Linked DNA regions of Drosophila melanogaster. The protein of the gene in region 1 interacts with the protein of each later gene in a pairwise test. Each region holds a gene or a part of one and is shown on either strand. Other genes may lie near its edges.

What was found. Proteins that work in one complex are often made in the same cells at the same time.
Region 2: the proteins of BORCS6 (region 1) and RecQ4 interact in a two-hybrid assay, tested with the Drosophila melanogaster proteins (one large-scale study listed by BioGRID).

The regions. Positions count from the first base shown.
Region 1 is NT_037436.4:538,632-542,817, forward strand, and holds BORCS6 (BLOC-1 related complex subunit 6), read left to right. Parts: upstream 1-2,219; 5' UTR 2,220-2,309; exon of another isoform or gene 2,310-2,370; 5' UTR 2,371-2,409; coding exon 2,410-2,797; intron 2,798-2,853; coding exon 2,854-3,328; intron 3,329-3,385; coding exon 3,386-3,431; 3' UTR 3,432-3,516; downstream 3,517-4,186. Other genes in the region: Cypl (Cyclophilin-like), read right to left, coding at 3,599-4,046, 4,139-4,186.
Region 2 is NT_037436.4:8,169,937-8,178,170, reverse strand, and holds RecQ4 (RecQ4 helicase), read left to right. Parts: upstream 1-2,192; 5' UTR 2,193-2,314; coding exon 2,315-2,416; intron 2,417-2,469; coding exon 2,470-5,639; intron 5,640-5,702; coding exon 5,703-6,443; intron 6,444-6,505; coding exon 6,506-6,681; intron 6,682-6,740; coding exon 6,741-7,057; intron 7,058-7,118; coding exon 7,119-7,352; 3' UTR 7,353-7,531; downstream 7,532-8,234. Other genes in the region: Nmt (N-myristoyl transferase), read left to right, coding at 1-48, 532-1,745.

The DNA.
Region 1 (4,186 bases):
AATAGGAATTTCCTCAATTAGATTTCCTAGTCGCTGACCCCAAACCGGGCACGATGTACTGGAAAGTCGAAGGAAAAGCGGGGGAAAGACGAATGCAAATCGCATTAGGACGCGCGTTTAATCTGCTCCAAGGCATCGCCTTAACCCCGCCCCGAGGAAAATGGGGAAACCCACGAGAGGGGAGGGTGGGAAATCTAGGAAGAGGGCACCAGTAAAATGTTGCAGTAAACGATTTTCCATTTCCCGCTGGGTCAGCGGGTCATCGAGTGGGCGAGCGGGAAAACGCGAGATGAATGCAATATGGAAATCAATAAATAAAAACAGCATTTTCATTTAAGTGCTCGACGAGGAAATGGTTGTGGGAAAAGGCCAGAGAAAACCCCGTTCAAGTGTCGCCCATGAAAATGGAAAATCTTTCTTCGATGCGATGTAAATAAACAGTAAGAGTGCGACAACATTTGTTTATAGAAATGGAATGGAATTTAAAGTGCGAAATAGGGAAATACTTAACAAAACAAGGATCCAGAAATTGAGTTCTTTTATTTTCGACCAACTTGCTTGTTTTTCCTATTGGATTTAGACGTTTAAAAATACATTTTTTTACAGAATATAAAAGTTAGAAGCTAATTATCGAGTAATTCCTTTCTCCTGATTCATCACATGCTTTTCTTGTCCACATATCAATCCACTTTTCCATATTATCGATGCCAAAATAAACGATTGATTGATTGATTGAAAAATCAACCCACGCATTTTAATAAAAACAACAACAATTCAAATGTGCAGTTACACACACATAACTAAAAGGGAAGAGAGTGGAAAGCCGAAAGAGAAGAAGAGCGAGAGAGAGCAAATATTATCGCAGTTATTACGAAATCGCAATCGAAACATAACGGTAGATATAGATAGGAAAAGCACCAATACAATAAAGCGAATATAACCGCTAGAGGAAGAGGGGAAGAAGTGGGTGGGTGAAAAAGAAAGATCGCTGTCTCTTTCTCGCTCTCATACTTGCTGACTGCACAATTTGCAGTTAAAAGAAAGAAGCAGAACGGCCTGAGAAGAAAGACAAAGCATAAGAGTAACTGGCCAAGAAGAAGAAAAGAACAAGAAGTCAAGAACAAAATAGAAGAGAGCACACACACACACACATTCGTACGTACCCGTAGAAAACAGAGAAGGCAAAAAAGTCTTTCCTTTTTTTTACACTTTTATCCATTTTCAGTTGCATTTTATAAGATTCTTTAGTACAAACAATTTAACTTACTTGCTTTTTTTAGCAGCCACGCATGCGTCGAATGGGAATTTATGCTCCTTGAGACTCCAATTGGAATTTGTACCCCGGCTGCAAACAGTTTTTTTTTCTCTCTTGCTTTATTTCCACACTGCACACATACACATATGCAGCGGCACATACACACAAGTGCACGCACTGCAGTCGATTTTGTTTTTTTTGCATAAAACTTTATTTCATGTATGCCACTTGTACATTGTTTGTCACCAATTTGCGTATTTTGTACATCAAATTTTATTTTACTTTTCGTTGCCTTCCTTATTATTTTCCTAATCTTCACATGCACTTTTTTAGCGACGCCAACACACACATTTGCACACGCACACACATGGCGAGGATGAGAGAGGAGAAAGAGAGCAAAACACCGTTTTCGTTGCTTCCTTTTCGCTTATTCCTCTTTAGCCGCTTCTTTTCGATTCTGGCTCTTTTTGGCACTTTTAGCCCCAAGTTGCTAGCAATTCACTTAGCGTACGAGCACTAACAATTAAAACGAATAAGACTCGAAAAATACGATGGAAACGCGAACATATAAACAAAAATCTACATTGGTTTTATTGCAGCGCTACGCAGGTGTGTTTTTACGCGCTCATCGCGCAATTAAATTAGAACGCTGCAGATTTACTTAGTTCACTCCAGTCTGCCCAATGCGCGCCGCACACCTCGGAGCCGCAAATTATAAACACGACTGTCTTCGATTTAACGGGCTGGCCTATCGGTCCTATCGATGACTCGATAGTGCGAGCTGGAGTGTGACCATTTCTTGGTAAAAGCAAAATCGTGAAGAGTAAGTGTGCGATACTATCGAACTGTCATATACTCAACCAAATAACATCTGAAATCTGTTTCTCACTAAAACCGAAATTTCCATCAGGGTTAGGAAAATATAGTTTACGCACATCAAGTTGCATAGGTCAATCCTACGTAAAAAAGGCTCGATATAGGTAAGGTGGACCTCAGCCTGAACAGGGCCTAATGCAAATACATTCGATAAATAGATGTTATCGATAACCATTTGGTATATACCAGTAAATGCTTTGTTTTGGTTTTCATTCAGAAAATTGACATACATTTCTTAGTCTGCCTAAAGTTCCTTGGATTGAAAAGAGCAGTGCAGAATGTCGCACCGCCACCAGGACATTCCCATCCGCCCACGTTACGGTTATGTGGCCGAGGAGAGTGGCCCATCGGAAGGGGCAGCCAGGAGTTCTGGATCCGGAGCCACGCCCGCCTCCTCCTACACGGAAATTCCGTTCCTGGCTCAGTATCCGGGAGCGGTGCCAGAGCACGTGCTCCAGGATCTGACGCCCACAGCCACTGGCCATGCTGCGATTCCCGGAAGCACAAAGACAAGACCCAACGGCGAGAAATACCTTAACCTGGATTCGGGCGAGGATCCCGACGAGGAAGACGATCCCTTGGAGGAGGAGGACAACAGCAACTCGAATAGCAACTCTAAGGGCAGTTCCGGCGACATCGAAAGGCACAGACTGAAGGCAGAGAGCAGTGGGTTCTAGGTTATCTACCCATAGTTCCTGACTAAAGCATCTTCCTTCTTTCAGCTGTGCCCTACGAGCTGGACGGCGAAACCAGTGACTCCGACGGGATGCGCCACTTTGTGGCCCACGATCTAGAGGCCAAGTTGCGCGAGCGCGTGGCGGCTTCGGCCTACTCCTCGGAGCACACCACGCCCCTGAGCTCCATGGGTCCCATTGGAGCCACTTCCGGCAACGGTCTGCTCACGCGGCGGTTCCTGCAGTCGCGCAACATTCCCGAAGTGGACGGCAGCGTCTTGAGCGACATCGAACTGGAGGCTCAGTACTTGGCCAGCTCGGTGGACAATCTGATGGAAAACCTGGGCAACCTGCTGCACTCAATCTCCTCCATAACGGCCGACAACGTGGAGGTCCATCGCAACGCGGTCAACAAGCTGACGGACACTTTGGACGCGAATATCAAGTGCCAGTACCAATTGCTGGCCAAGGCGGAGGAAATCACCAAGTCGATGAAACCCACAGAGCAGCTGGGTCAGCGCATGTAAGTGGGTCAATTCAAGACAGATCCCTTTAGTGTAATGGACTTTCTCTTCCGCAGAAGGCAGATCAAGCGGCTGGTGGACATGTTGGACAGCACCATGTAAAATAGGGCTACGCTATCCTGTGATCAACCAATCAAAGAGATCTTGTCTTTCTAGTCATTCCGTAAATACATATAATCAGTGTTATAAAATCCATATGGAAAGATACCTTTCGCTTGTTTAAATCGTACTTATTCTAGCAGTTCCTCCAAAAAATCCACCTCCTTGGCTCACAGCTTCTCCACCTTGGCCTTGATGATCCTTAGGGGATCCACGGGGCGATCGTTCTTGTCGGTTTCCACCATGCCGATCCGCTTGACCACCTCCATGCCCGTGTAGACCCTGCCGAAGATCGTGTGCTTGCCATCCAGCCACTGCGTGGGCGCCAGCGTGATGAAGAACTGGGACCCGTTGGTGTCCGGTCCAGAGTTGGCCATCGAGAGGATGCCCGCGCCCGTGTGCCTCAAGTCGCCGTGCAGCTCGTCCGCGAACTCCGATCCGTAGATGGAGGCGCCTCCGCGGCCAGTGCCCGTGGGATCGCCGCCCTGGATCATGAAGTCCCTGATGATCCGGTGGAACACCACGTTGTTGTAGTAGCCCCTTCTCGAGAGTTCGGCAAAGTTGCGGCAGGTGTTGGGCGCGTGTTTCCAGTACAGCTCCACGGTGATTTCTCCCATGCTGCGCGGGGCACAAATGCCACAAATAATGTGATAAACAAATGCTCAGTCTTCAGTTTCGGCGATTATCGAGCATTCAAGCTCCGGACTCACCTCGTTTCCAGGGTCACGAAGTGCGGCTGCCACGCCTTGTCGGGAATG
Region 2 (8,234 bases), 7.6 Mb from region 1:
AGCAGCCTGATGGTGCCAAGAATGAGGCTTCAGTGTCTGCGAATGCAAGTAAGTTTTCAATATGCCTGTGAAAAGTCATTTAGAGGCTCCTCCTGCGGCTGAAAAAATGAGGTTAGGTTTTGTCGGGAACTACAGTCCAACCTCTCTAACTTGAACTGCTGTGCTATTCATTTCAATTCAATTTTCAATTTTCATTTTCTGTGCAATTACTCCAAAGATTAGCCCTAACGGAAAAATAAACAACTCATAAATCATAAATACATATTTGATTTTGATGAAATATGAATATACTTACATAGATACAATTGAGTTTTTTATTACGAATAAAATATGTGTAATATAAGATTTCTACCTTGTTGATTCCATTGATTGATGCTTCATTGAAACCCCAAAATTGGGCAAATTTGTTGTCATGGGAAACTAGTCCACTGTCGTGATGCCTTAAGCTTTTTTTGGGGCAGATTAGTCATTCCAGTTTAAACTAATCGAAAAATGTTATAATACTATTCAACGCATCATCGTTTCTTTCAGGCAAACAGGCCTTGCTACAAGCCGTTTCCGATGCTATGGCCAGCACCCGTCAGATGGCCAAGAAGTTTGCATTTTGGTCCACACAGCCAGTCACCAAGCTGGACGAGCAGGTGACCACCAACGAATGCATTGAACCGAACAAGGAAATTAGTGAGATTAGAGCATTGCCATACACTCTGCCAGGCGGCTTCAAATGGGTGACACTAGACCTGAACGACGCCAATGATCTCAAGGAGCTGTACACGCTGCTCAATGAGAACTATGTGGAGGACGATGATGCCATGTTCCGTTTCGATTACCAACCCGAGTTTCTAAAGTGGTCGCTGCAGCCACCTGGCTGGAAACGCGATTGGCATGTTGGCGTTCGTGTGGAGAAGTCCGGCAAACTGGTTGGCTTCATCTCAGCCATTCCCAGCAAGCTGAAGTCGTACGACAAGGTGCTAAAGGTTGTGGACATCAACTTCCTATGCGTCCACAAGAAGTTGCGCAGCAAACGGGTGGCTCCAGTCCTGATTCGGGAGATAACGCGTCGCGTCAATCTGACGGGGATTTTCCAGGCGGCCTATACAGCTGGAGTTGTGTTGCCCACGCCAGTGGCCACCTGTCGCTATTGGCATCGATCGCTCAATCCCAAGAAGCTGGTAGACGTGCGTTTCTCTCATCTCGCACGTAACATGACCATGCAGCGGACAATGAAGCTGTACAAGCTACCCGATCAGCCCAAGACGAAGGGCTATCGCCGAATCACAGCGAAGGACATGGACAAGGCCCACAAGCTGCTGGAGGACTACCTAAAGCGCTTTCAGCTGAGCCCGGTGTTCAGCAAGGAAGAGTTTCGTCATTGGTTTACCCCCAAAGAAGGTATTATCGATTGCTTCGTGGTTGCCGACGAAAAGGGCAACATCACTGATCTGACTAGCTACTACTGCCTGCCATCGTCCGTGATGCACCATCCGGTGCATAAGACGGTTCGTGCCGCATATTCGTTCTATAATGTGTCTACAAAGACCCCGTGGCTGGACCTGATGAACGATGCACTGATCTCGGCCCGCAATGTCCAGATGGACGTGTACAATGCCCTCGACCTCATGGAGAACAAGAAGTACTTTGCACCGCTAAAATTCGGCGCCGGGGATGGAAACCTGCAGTACTACCTCTACAATTGGCGCTGTCCATCGATGCAGCCGGAGGAGATTGCTCTGATACTCATGTAGTCACCTTGTCACCTAAGCTCACATTCTCGCCCTGCCTTTCACAGCTCCCCTCCTCCGCTTTCTTCACCCTGCTGGAAGTGCCGTGCGGCTGCTTTGCTTTGCTCCTATTTACGTAGCTATTACCTGTAATCTTCAGTTATTCCAGCGAGGAAAGCCCTTTGCGAGCATACACCTAAATAGCATCATTGTGAAAATTGCATTTTGCAACGGCCAAGCTTCGATATTTTTTACTACAAGAACGAACACAAATTGTATAAAATGCGCAGCAATATCAATAAAAATGTAACGTTTACTTGGACCTTTATTGCCTATAATTGACAATAAATTATTTTGCTGCTCTTTTAAAGATGACAAGTTTTTATTTTTTTTAAGCAGATTATTGTATTTTTGCCCACTGTCCCAGCATGTGATAGTCTGGCCACTCTGTCACATGGCCATTGGTCTGGCAAGGTCGGTGAAAAAGCGCGCGCTAAGCAAAACAGCTGCACTTGTGTTGGTTTATTAGTTAACGAAATCTGATTCCAATGTTGGTTTCCTCATAATATTGACAATTAAAGACAGCCGCCGACATGGACGATTCGGTGTTCAAGCTAAAATACCAAAAGTACAAGTTGCGCGTCAAGGTGTGGGAGAAGGACTTCAAGAAGAAGAATGGCCGTGTTCCATCGAAGGTGAGATTGGGATGCGGATATGACAAGTATGCTAACTGGTTGACCTGTTGCAGTATGATATAAGGGACGCCAGTCAGGAGATTCGGGACTCATACAAAATGTACTACAAACTGAAGACATCCTTCCTGGAAGAGACGCTGAACGATGTTCTCAGCGAAGATGGATACGATATTCTGGAGATGTCGCAGGCCAGTGATTTCGGTGTGAGCATGCTGGACCAGGACGTCAGTCTTAATGAAGGTCCTCAGCTACCGTTGGATATATCTGCACTGGTGGGGCCGCAGAGCTCTGGTAATCTTGAGGAAATTCCACAATCGGTGGAGGGCTCATTCTCAAATCTCATCGACCTGCCCAATCGTCAAGTACTCACCAATCTGGTCAATCGCGATGAAAACCATGTCATTCGCAAATTCGAGGCGGTGGAGGAGCTGCCAATCAACCAAAATGCCTGGGGCTTGAATGTGAGTAAGAAGCCACCAGCTCCACCACAGCCTGTAGAGGCCTCCAAATCCGCTCCGGGGCACGGAAAGCAACCCAAAGCGGGCGCTAGTCTTAAGCCCAGCTTGAGTGCCAAGTTATTCCAATCCTCACGCGGTTTTGCTAAACGAAATCCCCGAAAGCCGCTTTCACGTTGTGTCAGTTCCTCTAGTTCCACCACATCACTTAGCTCAGTTCCTACTGATCATCACGAGGAACTGCTCGACTTTGAGACCATACTCATACGCAAAGCCCAGGAGTACAAGGAGAAGCAGCAGGCCATAGCTAACAATCCAATGCTGGCCAGTGAGCACAGCAAGGAAAGTATCAAAACACTGGTGGACGACGGCTGGCTCCGGCGAAATACAAAGGAAAACACTCTTGATGAAGAAGTGCCCTTTGCGGAAGCAAATAATAACAGTGGTACGTCCAAGAAAACAAACTTTGGCCTGGCCAATCTTGATTTAAGTAAACTAAAGCCCACTGTTAAGGAGGAAAAAGTGTTGCAGGCCAAGCCCGATCAAATGGCAATCATACAGGAGCTGCAAACAGATATGAATTCTAGCATGAACCAGAAACCAGATCATCTTAATCACACACCTCCTGCATCCAGTCAAAAATCAGTCGCTCCTAAAAATAAACCTCCACCTTCCGAGCAGGAAACCGATTCGGATTCCGACTCTGTTGTGGCTGAGAGTGAAGAAGAGCAGGAACCACAAGAATATCGGCAACTATCAAAACGTCGCAAAATTGTTTCAACAGCATCAGGAAAAGTGGAAGTAGCCGCCCCAGTTGAAATTCCCAACAAAGTCGAACCAGAGACAGAAACATTTGCTCAAGAGAATCCAGATTTCTCTGCAGATGAAGACCAGGATGCTACATATGTACCAGAGAATAAAAAGAAAGATAAGGCAAAGCGCAAGCAAGCCGCCGGAAAACAAAAGACCACTAAGCCCAAAGCGGAACCAAAACCGAAAACAGAAAAGAAAGCCAAAGTCAAGGCCGAAAAGAAACCCAAGGCGGAGAAAAAGCCGAGGAACTCTAAAAAAGCCATCGCTGTCGAGCCGGCTCCTGATCCAGAAGAGGATGAGCGCCAACCATTGAATCCAGAAGATTTGAAATACGTGTTGGCCTTGGAGGCGGGAGATATTACCTCCGTTCCGCGCATTAATGTGCAGGATCTAGAAGAAGCGGATGCTACCGCCCAGCGCTATATTAGAACCTTCGCCGCTGGACCCAACCCAGGATTGTCGGAAGGGTCCAACATTCGAGTGGATGAAAAGAGAGCCGCAGCACGAAAGAAGCTGGAGGAACGCATAGCAGCTGGTAAATTAAACGAGAACTTTGTGACCATAAATATTCAAAAGAAAAAATTCGTGCGTGGCAAAAAGTCCGTGAACTTCAGCAAGTACAAGAAGCAACAGTGGCGGCATAAGAAACGAGTGGCTGCCTTGAGTGGGCCGGACATGGATATGGGTGGCTGTGATGGCGGAGTGCTCACGTGCTTCCAGTGCGGCGGAGTCGGGCATTTCGCTCAGCAGTGCAAGGTGAAGGGAGACAGCTTGTTGCCACTTTCGGCACAGCTGGAAGAGGATCCCTCGCCGTTTCCCACGCTTGCCGAGGCTCAGGAGATGGCCAGTCAGGGAGCAGTGGTGGCACACAGTCGCAACATCTCACGGCTGCCCCAAGCGGCCAATGCAGCCATCCTGCAAGGCGATGAGTTGAACGAGTCAGAGGAAGATGACCAAGAAAGCAGCGGAGATGAGGAGGTACAGCAGCATCCAGATCCAAATTGGTCTAGCGATGAAATGGACGTTGATTTCGAGGCCCTAGATGCGGCCGTCGAAGCTTCCCTAAGCCAACCGGTTTCGCAAGAGAAAGCAGCTTCACCTATTAAGACATACGTCGGCCACAAGATTCCCGAGGAGTTCCTCAAGCAGGCTGGACTGGACACCACAGCCTCTAGTTCGAATCGCAGCCAGCACGGTGGGGTGAAGCCCCTATACGATCTCCTTCCGGATGGCAGTGTCCAGGACACGACGCCAGAGGTCCTAGAGGCACTCCACATGTTCGGGCACACCAACTTCAGGAAAGGTCAAGATCGCGCCATCATGCGCACTCTCTCTGGACTATCATCGCTAGTTACACTTAGCACGGGCAGCGGCAAATCTTTGTGCTACCAATTGCCCGCCTATTTGTATAGCCGGAAAGTGGGAGCTATTACCCTAGTCATCTCACCATTGGTGTCACTTATGGAGGATCAGGTGACCGGGGTGCCGCACTTTCTGCGAGCTCACTGCCTGCACACTAATCAGACCGCGCCGCAGCGTATGAAGATTCAGCAGATGATTGCCAATGGGGAGATTGACATTCTTCTTGTCTCTCCGGAGGCGGTTGTCGCCGGGGAACGAGCCACAGGATTTGGAGCCATTCTTCGCCAGCTGCCGCCCATTGCATTCGCTTGTATTGATGAGGCGCATTGCGTGTCTCAGTGGAGTCACAACTTTCGACCCAGCTACCTAATGATCTGCAAGGTGCTGAGAAAGAATCTCGGTGTACGCACAGTGCTGGGGCTAACAGCCACGGCAACTTTGCCAACGCGTGTTAGCATTATAAATCACCTTGGCATATCGGATGGAGAACGTGGTATTATAAGCGACATCCCACTGCCTGACAATCTAGTGCTGTCCGTCTCCAAGGATGAGAACCGGGATGCAGCTCTGCTCCAACTGCTCAATAGCGAACGGTAAGACTTGGCCCACCATCTTTGAAACTTGAAGGAGACTTAAATACATTTTGATCATTCTAGCTTCGAGCCCTGCCAGTCCATTATTATCTATTGTACGCGTCGTGACGAGTGTGAGCGTATCGCTGGGTTTATTAGAACGTGCGTGCAAGACCGTAGGGAGCCAACTCAGGATCAGACGAAAAAACGTAAACGTGTGAATTGGCAGGCTGAGCCCTATCACGCTGGAATGCCCGCTTCCAGGCGACGAACCGTTCAGAAGGCCTTCATGAGCAATGAGCTGCGCATTGTGGTGGCCACCATTGCCTTTGGTATGGGCATCAATAAGCCGGACATACGCGCGGTAATCCATTATAATATGCCAAGAAACTTTGAGAGCTATGTGCAGGAAATTGGTCGAGCAGGACGCGACGGGTTGCCTTCCCACTGTCACCTCTTCTTGGATGCGAAGGGTGGCGACCAGAGTGAGCTGCGTCGCCATGTGTATTCTAACTCCATTGATCGGCATGTTATCCGTAAGCTGCTGCAAAAGATCTTTGTGCCATGTAGCTGTGACAAGGAGGCTTCCAAGAGGACAGCTCTTCCGATTCCCCTTGAAGGTGATGGTCCTAGAGTGCATATGTGTCCGGGACACGAGATTGGCTTTTCCGTGGAGAAAACCGTTGAGATGCTGGACATCCCGGCGGAGAACATATCTACTTTGCTCTGCTACATGGAGCTTGATCCCCGATGGTGCATCAGTGTGCTCAGCTCAGCATATGTGATGGCTAAGGTAATCTCGTATGGTGGGCCAAAGTACTTGAAGTAAGTCCTTTAGACACGTGTATTGTGTATGTGTTTAATGTTATTGGTTTTTCCTTGCACAGGCATGCTGCAAAGGAATGTCCACCATTGGCCATGGCTATTGCTTTGCAGATTAGAGATAAGACATTCAAGGAGGACTCTAACATCATAGAATTCTCGGTCACAGATATCGCGGCAGGAATTGGCTGGAACAGTGGTGTGGTCAAATACCAACTGAAGGATCTGGAGTGGGTAAAAGGTGAGATGGTAATCCGTTCAAAAAAGGATCCGTTTAATTAGAAATTAATTTTTCGATAGTAAATGGATATCCCAAGCGATCGCCCATCACGGTGAGCTTCTATGATTTGGGATTCCGCATCAAGGTGCCGGGCGATTTTACCGAATCAGAGATCGACAACGCTCTGGACACTCTCTATACGCGATCCGTGAAACAGGAGCGTACGCAGCTCATCCAGCTGCAATATGTGGCCCATGGATTGGCTGCTGTGGCCTACAGCTCTTGTGGCCAGTGCTGCAATGCGGATTTTCCGCAGGATCGGGGCGAGCAGCTAAAGGCTATCGTGCGCAACTACTTTGCCAATGACTACCCACAGGATCTGGAGCTGGAAATAGAGGTAATTGCTTGGCAACACATTTCAATTTCTTACTTTTATTGCTTTCCTCTCTGTCCATTAGCCAAGTAACGTGCCGGATGAGAACATCATAGACGACGTTCATGCTCTAATAAACATGTACCCGGACAATACATTTACCGGACGTAATATTGCGCGCATCTTTCATGGCATCATGAGCCCGAACTATCCGGCTGTCATCTGGGGACGCTGTAAGTTCTGGCGTGCCCACGTCAAAGTGGATTTCAATCGCATCCTGCACCTGGCCAATATGGCTATTATCAAGAGGCGTACGTGACCGTAATGTCGGGATGAACCGCCGATACCATGGTTAACCAATTAATAGCTCCAAGAATTTTAAAAATATGTGATGCCATTCAATAACATTTTACTCGCACAAGTCTGATAATACAAAAATAAATTACAAATTCTATATAAACAGCTTTTGTACTTATTATGAGTGGAAAGAGAAATTCGTACGGACAATCTAAATTTTTAGCTTGGTTTTTAAACTCTCTAAATCTATGTGTTTCATTAGCTAATAAATTTGCACCATACAATCCCACGCCAATGGAACAATAACAATTTATGATAATTTCATTGCCGAAAACAACAGAGCACTAAAATAAAGTAAACAAATGCCAAGCTCGTTTAGAGGCAAATTGCAGCTACGGCTTCAAATGAAACAGCAGAAATCAATTCGATGGAGCCCGTAAAGAAACAAACATCCGGCTGAGTCATTCCCAATAACATCACGAAATGTATAACCCCGGTCGAAGGTGTCATCTTCAAATCGAAGCCTAGCCAAAGGTCGTCCTTCCTCAGTTCACACGAACGCGAAGCAAACAACCCAACAAATGGGGGGATCTAACAACAACTCAGGGCACAGACAACTGGAAACAGAGAAACATCATTGAAGTTGTCGGATCAGCGAAGCGTTTGATAAAGGTTTTTTATGACTTGGCCATTTTGTGAGGCCTTTGGCTTCTCGTGCCGATGTTGTTTATAATCATAAACGAGACTCGAGTACACAAAAGTCGACCCAATTACAACTTGTTTGTTCTGAGAGTGAGACGTCAACGTCATCATCCTCGCTCCATGATCATCCACATTGTGCAGATGGCCAGCGAAGCCATCGAGCAGCAAGCTGACCTTGCCTCCAATTTTACTCCAATTTCGA